Saccharomyces cerevisiae S288C: one gene and its partner. Changing the gene in region 1 together with any one later gene gives a genetic interaction. Each region holds a gene or a part of one and is shown on either strand. Other genes may lie near its edges.

Region 1 (4,861 bases):
TTATGGGCCTTATCATTGGCACATGCTCAATTGTCTAGTGTTTTATGGACAATGACAATTCAAATTGCCTTTGGATTTAGAGGATTTGTGGGTGTGTTTATGACGGTTGCACTTTTTGCCATGTGGTTCGCACTAACATGTGCAGTTCTTGTTTTGATGGAAGGTACATCTGCCATGCTTCATTCCTTACGTTTGCACTGGGTTGAATCTATGTCCAAGTTTTTCGTGGGTGAAGGTTTACCATACGAACCATTCGCATTTGAGTATAAAGACATGGAAGTCGCTGTTGCTAGTGCAAGCTCTTCCGCTTCAAGCTAAATTTTGAGGACTTTTAAAAAAAGCGAAACATTTAAGTACTTCATTAAATAATAAATGATGCTACTATATAGTGAGTAAACCTTATTATATACTATCAATGCTAATTCAATAAAGTATTTAAAGTATCAACCAATGCTTAAAAAGAGTCAAAAAAAAGGGAAAAAGAAATAGGAAAGCCAAACTTATCTCATGAAAACGTTAGACTTGCAATCCAATCCACCAGTGACCATCATTTGCCTTGGGGTAACGTTAGAATCGAAATCCACATCCAGGTCTAAACAGTTGACAAATCCTGTATGCAACTTTTCCCAAACGTGTAAGCACTGCCCCGTGTTCAGATCCCAACATCTGACAGATTTATCATCAGCACAAGAAAACAAGTATTGGCCTCGAATACTAATATCTCTAACCCACGAAAGATGCCCCTTCAACGTAAGAACACATCTGAAATTTGAATCTGTAGGATTCGGTATGGGTGCTCTATGGGCCATTAACGTAGGTAGAGGTATCTCCCAGATTTTTATCGTTCTATCTCTTGACGCTGAGACACAATATTGCATCCCCCAATTCTTATATCGATCCGTTGATGGTGTTCTAAACCTTATCTCCGGAGAGTCTTCGATGAAATGAATAAATTTAACTTTCTCTATGGGAAATTCATGACCCGTGCCAACACTAAGACCATTACCTGATGGCCAATGTGTTAACCTTAATGTAGTGTCATGTGAACCAGAGATGATGTAATCGCCTAGAACGTCTATGGAACGAACCCATTGGGAATGAGGCTGAAATGTTTTCAACGACCAACCATTGTGGAAGTCCCAAATTTTAACAGTTTGATCTCTGGAACAGGACGCTATATGGACATCATTATTTTTCTGCCAGATTTTTACCGCAGAGACAATATGCTCATGGCCCAATAAAGACCTAATTTGTTGGAACTTGCATTCCTCGGAGACCCACTTGAAAACATGAATCTGCAAATCTTTAGACGCGGTAACGATCACCAAATAGTTCTTCTTGCTGGAGTTCGTATAATTGGTAAATAAAACATCCATGGAGGTAATTGCCTTGGTATGACTTTGCAAGGATGCCAGAGGGATGGTGTAGTTAAATAAATCAAATGCGTATAATTTGCCATGATCTGTGGCCACAAACACTATAGGCAAATTGGGATGTAGTTTGACGGAAGTGACAGATGATTCAACATTAATTAAACAGCTTGGTAGATTTCTCGGTATCCATTTCAAAACATTATGTGCGCTGGTGCCGTTACTGGTGGTAGGTTTGAATTGTGCTAGTTCTGACACTTGAGTGTTCAAATCTTTAATCTGAGATACAAGGGTCTCTGTATTCTGCTCCAATTCAATGATTTTTTTTTGTAGTCTAACAATTGAGTTCCACTTCTTCGGTAGCAGTAATTCATCAATGTCTACCATACTTTCGTTACTGGTGTCATTGTTACTGATGAATTCTTGCCGGTCCACTGATTCTTGCAACAGAAAACCTGATAGAGTTACAATTGCATGTCGAACACTTTCGTAATCTTGAGCATGCTCATGTCGTACAGTTTGTTTGTAATTCCAATTCAAATATCGGAGGACACTTTTATCGAGTTCATTTTTCTGTGTATCTGTTAAAGGAAGCTGTTGCTGCCAGTTAGTCATTTCTATTTTTTTCTACACTTACGCACGCACAGGTGTATACCAACAACCGGACGACGAACCTAGCTGCTTTATCAATGGCTATCTGGGCGACGATGGCCCAATACTAAGATTACCTATTACGTTTACACTCGCCAAAAATAAGAAACAAGTGCAATATGCACGACTTGCAAGCTGAAAATATTTCAAAACACCCACATCCCACAGCACAAAACCAGTGCAAATTCCATAAAGGGAAGTGAATTAAATTCAATGGTAGATGAAAGCACTTTTTCAGGAACCGTTTTAAGATCTAATTGTAGTTTACCAAGATATACTAAAACGTCGTTACTCGTTTTATTTACCTACCATTAGCTAACCGTTGCCATGGCTACCGTCCGGGTCGCCAGCGGCTGCTACTGCAAAAGTTGACAACGAAAAAGAGAAAAAAAAAATTCTCGGCACGCAAGACCTGAATGGTTTTTGTTTTCCCCTTCCCATTTTTTTCTTATGGTTTTTCCAGTTTTCTAGAAGCCGGAAAAAAGGCAAGCTACAAAATGTACTACGCGGAGCCAGAATTAAAAACCACGCGGACGGGACGGGCCGTGGCTTGTGACGCCGGATCCCCGCGTATAATCCGTGTCACGCTAAAGGACAAAATCGGTTTATCCGAGCGGTTTACGGGAAGGGTCTTTTGCTATCTCGCAGTAGCGTGTGCCTGGTTATCCCAATACTACCACCACACCTGTGCTTTTTTTATCTTGTACGTGCATGTATGCGTATGTTTTCTTTTTTTCCGTTGGTGCTTATTCGCTACCGTCTCGTTGATCCATGAATCACAAACACAAGCCGGTTCTGCTTACTATACAAAATAGTCTTGTGTCTTGATTCATATATCCGTCAATAACGTAGCCTTTCTTTATTTTCCTTTCGCTCACCATACTCTTGCATTAGTGTATTTTGTCTTTTATATCGCCAATAAGTGCCCAACTCTTCTACCTGACCCCTACGTCGTCGCCGCCCCTTTTCTTTTTCTTCGCCTAGTTCTATTTGGCTATATATTTCAGAGTGACAAATCTTTAAGAGAGACAAACTGAGAATTAGCATATAGAATCATTCATACAACTGTTTACAAACAAGTAAGCCCAAGACAGTTCCCAACCGCTTAAAGAAGTTTTTCCTAGAGGGAGCAAAGTTCGTTTACATTTCACACACACAGTTTTTTTTCACTTTTTTGGGCCTCTTCCTTTTCCCGTTTTTTTCAAAAAGCTTAGAAATCTTCTTCACCTCCTATTTTTCTAGAATCGTGAAGAATTTCCAGATTTAACAGTTTTCCACTTTTTCAATAAGGAAATAGTAGGAATAATAAAAAAAGGATAGTAGTAACGATATACGTCGACTTTCCAGACTGGTCTCGAGCCGGAATTAAATACAATAGCAGCGTTTGACTACCACATTGTAGCTCCGCTAGAATTGATCGAAAACAAAAATAATAACACTAATAATTATAATAATACGGTAGAACTATTTCTCGTATAAAGATGCCTAATCTATTGTCGAGAAACCCATTCCATGGTCATCATAATGACCATCATCATGACCGTGAAAATTCGTCTAATAACCCGCCACAGTTGATCAGAAGTTCTAAATCTTTCTTAAACTTCATTGGTAGAAAACAAAGTAATGACTCACTAAGAAGCGAGAAATCTACAGATTCCATGAAATCTACCACAACCACTACAAATTATACTACAACAAACCTTAATAACAACACCCATAGCCATTCTAATGCAACCAGTATCTCAACAAACAACTACAATAATAACTATGAAACAAACCACCACCATAATATTTCTCATGGGCTCCATGACTATACTTCTCCCGCCTCTCCAAAACAAACCCACTCCATGGCAGAATTGAAAAGGTTTTTCAGACCTTCTGTAAATAAAAAACTATCTATGTCTCAACTTCGTTCCAAGAAACATAGCACCCATTCCCCCCCACCTTCAAAATCAACTTCTACAGTTAATTTAAATAATCACTATCGTGCCCAGCATCCTCATGGCTTTACAGACCACTATGCTCATACCCAGTCTGCTATACCGCCAAGTACCGATTCTATCCTATCTTTGTCCAATAATATTAATATATATCACGATGATTGTATTCTGGCTCAAAAATACGGGAAATTGGGTAAGTTATTGGGTTCCGGTGCCGGTGGGTCCGTTAAAGTTCTTGTGAGACCAACTGATGGTGCTACTTTTGCCGTCAAAGAATTCAGACCAAGGAAACCGAATGAGAGTGTGAAAGAATATGCCAAGAAGTGCACCGCAGAATTTTGTATTGGTTCGACTTTACATCACCCAAATGTTATCGAAACTGTTGACGTTTTCTCTGATTCTAAACAAAATAAATACTATGAAGTTATGGAGTACTGTCCGATTGATTTTTTTGCTGTTGTTATGACAGGCAAGATGTCTCGTGGCGAGATCAACTGTTGCTTGAAGCAATTGACTGAAGGTGTTAAATATTTACATTCTATGGGATTGGCACATAGAGATTTGAAATTGGATAATTGTGTCATGACTTCCCAGGGTATTTTGAAATTAATTGATTTTGGTAGTGCTGTTGTGTTCAGATATCCTTTTGAAGATGGCGTAACGATGGCTCATGGAATCGTGGGTAGTGACCCTTACTTAGCGCCGGAAGTGATTACCTCCACCAAATCTTATGATCCTCAGTGCGTCGATATATGGTCTATTGGGATCATATATTGTTGTATGGTGCTTAAAAGGTTTCCATGGAAAGCCCCTAGAGATTCTGACGATAATTTTAGATTATATTGTATGCCGGATGATATAGAACACGACTATGTTGAATCTGCCAGGCATCACGAAGAG
Region 2 (2,740 bases), on another chromosome or scaffold:
GAGTTCTTCATTTAACGAGCCAATTTTTTTTTCCGCATTGGCCAATAGACGATCATTTCCATTGATACAATTAGTAGAAGCCCTTTGCTTTAAGACGTTTTTGTAACTATGTTCTACCTTTTTTAACGACTTTTTAAGTTGAAGTTCAATTTGCTGCATCTGATTGCGTTCCTCGTCAATGTCCCTACTTACAACTTCATAGATGGACAGAATGTCTTTTTTTACTTGTAATAACTCATACTTCGTGCTATTGAAGATAGCAGCCTGTGTTAATTTTTTATGGGATGCAAGGGGAGGTAAGCCCTTTAACTCTTCGTAATAGGAACTGCTTCCAACGGCATCAAATTCTATTCTTGATTTCCATTTCAGTATACCTTTAGTTAAGTCTGCTACCATGCTAGGCACTCTCTGCCTTTCTTATGGTTTGGTTACGCATACTCTTCCTTTATATATTCATTGTCATATTTTAAGGAAGCAATCGCTCCCGACGCAAAGTAAAAATATTCAGTGCTTTGCACTCCAGTTAGAAAAAATGAAGAGAATTCAATTGAGAATAAGCAGGGAAGTAATTGGATTGGGAGAATCTAAAAAATGTGGAACTCACTAAAAGCATTCGCTCTAGTGTTCGGAGGTTGTTGCTCCAATGTTATTACATTTGAAACCTTAATGAGCAACGAAACAGGCAGCATTAATAATCTCATTACTTTTTGTCAATTTTTATTTGTTACATGTCAGGGACTCCCCGAATTTCTGGATGTTCATCAACCTTTCCCTTACTTCAAGCCTCTGAAAACTCCACTTCACGTTTATGTCATTACTGTCGTTTTATTTTATATTTCATCTACGACGAATAATAACGTATTTAAATACAACATATCCATTCCGATTCATATCGTTTTCAGATGCTTCGGAACCGTAATAACCATGTTTACATGCTGGTTATTAAATGGTAGGAAATATACAAAGATTCAGATTTTATCAACACTATTTTTAACCATTGGAGCTATAATTGCCTCATTATTCAAAGATGCTGATTTTCGGTACCAAGATTTGAAACTGCAAGCGTGGAAAATTGGAAGTGACCAATCTGTAGATCTCACTTTTATTTTTGGCATTTGTATACTAGTACTTTCATCATTCACATCATCTTTACTTTCAGCATACAATGAACGTACGTATCAAAAATATGGAAAGCATTGGAAGGAGAATATCTTTTACAGTCATTTTTTATCATTACCTCTCTTTCTATTTAGTCGAAAGCAGTTAATTCACGAATATCGAGTGATGAGAAAGTCTGAAAGAATATTGTGTTCAAATTTTGGAGGGAAGATTCTAGTCCCGCGAGAAGAAACTCTCCTTCTTTTCAATGTGTTAACACAATATTTTTGCGTCAAGGGTGTTAATATCCTCGCCAGTAAAACAAACGCTCTGACACTTTCCATAACATTACTTGTAAGAAAATTTATAAGTCTTTTACTGAGCGTCCGACTTTTCGATAATAACTTGTCATATACTGGCTACATCGGGGTCTACCTAGTCTTTTTTGGTGCCTTTATATACTCGCTGGGATCAATTCACCCCAGGCAAAATGACAAGGGGGCGATAAAGAAAAGTAAATGAACACACATTATAAACTAACCTTAAATCCTACTTGTATGTTCCTTAACTCTATATTAGTGGTGTTGACGTAAGTTTAGATAAAATCGCGAACGCTGCCGCCTGGAAGTAAATGAAAAAAAAAAAAAAAAGAATTCATCACCTAAACTCACTAATCTTTAAAACTCATTCATGAGAAGTGGAGAACTATATTACAGCTATGGAACAAAGGAACAACGGTATGCAAAATTTCGATCTCTGGGTTTTAATAAATGCATGTAGCCAATTTTATCTTACTAACAATCTTTGTGTTTTCTCTGTGTATAGTCTTTCAAGCAAAATATAATGAATACAAACAAATTTTGGAAGAATTGCAAACAAAAATCATAGAATTAGGTCATGACAAAGATGAACACACTATAGTCATAAAAACACTGAAAGACGCTGAGCCGACGAGAAAATGTTACAGGATGATAGGTGGCGCACTTGTTGAAAGTGATGTTCAAACGAGTTTGCCTATTCTTGAAACTAAGAAGGAAAACATAGAAGGTACAATAAGTAAAATGAAAGAAACCTTAATACAAACTGCAAAAGAGTTTGAAAAATGGAAAAAAGACAATAAGATTCAAGTCGTTAAAAACTAAACCATATATAAAATCTATTGCAGTACTTAGTTTGGCAAAAAATATAAATAAACACAATCAGGTACTCTTATGTATTTATGTGAGCCATTTATAAAGAATTATAAAGGATATGAAAACATATATTAGTTTGTTTTTTTGAATGTTTCAAGTTTCTTGCCAACAGAGGAAGTCGTAACGAAAGAAACAACAAAAAATATCCACGCAACAATGACGCCACAAATGGCGCTAATATAAACCCAAGAATTGCTGATTTCCCAACTTCTTGGGTATTCATCATTAGCAAGGTGACGGATAGCTTTAACGTCTTTGTCAGTAGTGAACGACAGGCCAATCTTACGATAGTCAGTGAGGAATGTAAACACTCCATGGCGGTCTGGAAGGATGAATTCACCGGTGGTGTAATACTGAGTTTCAGAATCGTTTCCGCTTGGCGACAATGTTAGACGGTAGTACGGATCCACTTGTCTTAGTTCAAATTGGATATCATCAGCGATATGTGG

The links. A genetic interaction does not mean that the proteins touch.
Region 2: mutations in PAC1 (region 1) and GIM4 together harm fitness more than expected from each alone (negative genetic interaction), as found in Saccharomyces cerevisiae (6 studies listed by BioGRID, with this or other methods).

The regions. Positions count from the first base shown.
Region 1 is NC_001147.6:823,509-828,369, reverse strand, and holds PAC1 (Pac1p), read right to left. Parts: upstream 1,986-4,861; coding exon 501-1,985; downstream 1-500. Other genes in the region: VPH1 (H(+)-transporting V0 sector ATPase subunit a), read left to right, coding at 1-318; YOR268C (uncharacterized protein), read left to right, coding at 2,438-2,836; putative serine/threonine protein kinase HRK1, read left to right, coding at 3,503-4,861.
Region 2 is NC_001137.3:146,360-149,099, forward strand, and holds GIM4 (tubulin-binding prefolding complex subunit GIM4), read left to right. Parts: upstream 1-1,816; coding exon 1,817-1,835; intron 1,836-1,923; coding exon 1,924-2,240; downstream 2,241-2,740. Other genes in the region: VAB2 (Vab2p), read right to left, coding at 1-396; YEA4 (Yea4p), read left to right, coding at 592-1,620; WBP1 (dolichyl-diphosphooligosaccharide-protein glycotransferase), read right to left, coding at 2,363-2,740. UniProt on the Saccharomyces cerevisiae protein: Binds specifically to cytosolic chaperonin (c-CPN) and transfers target proteins to it. Binds to nascent polypeptide chain and promotes folding in an environment in which there are many competing pathways for nonnative proteins.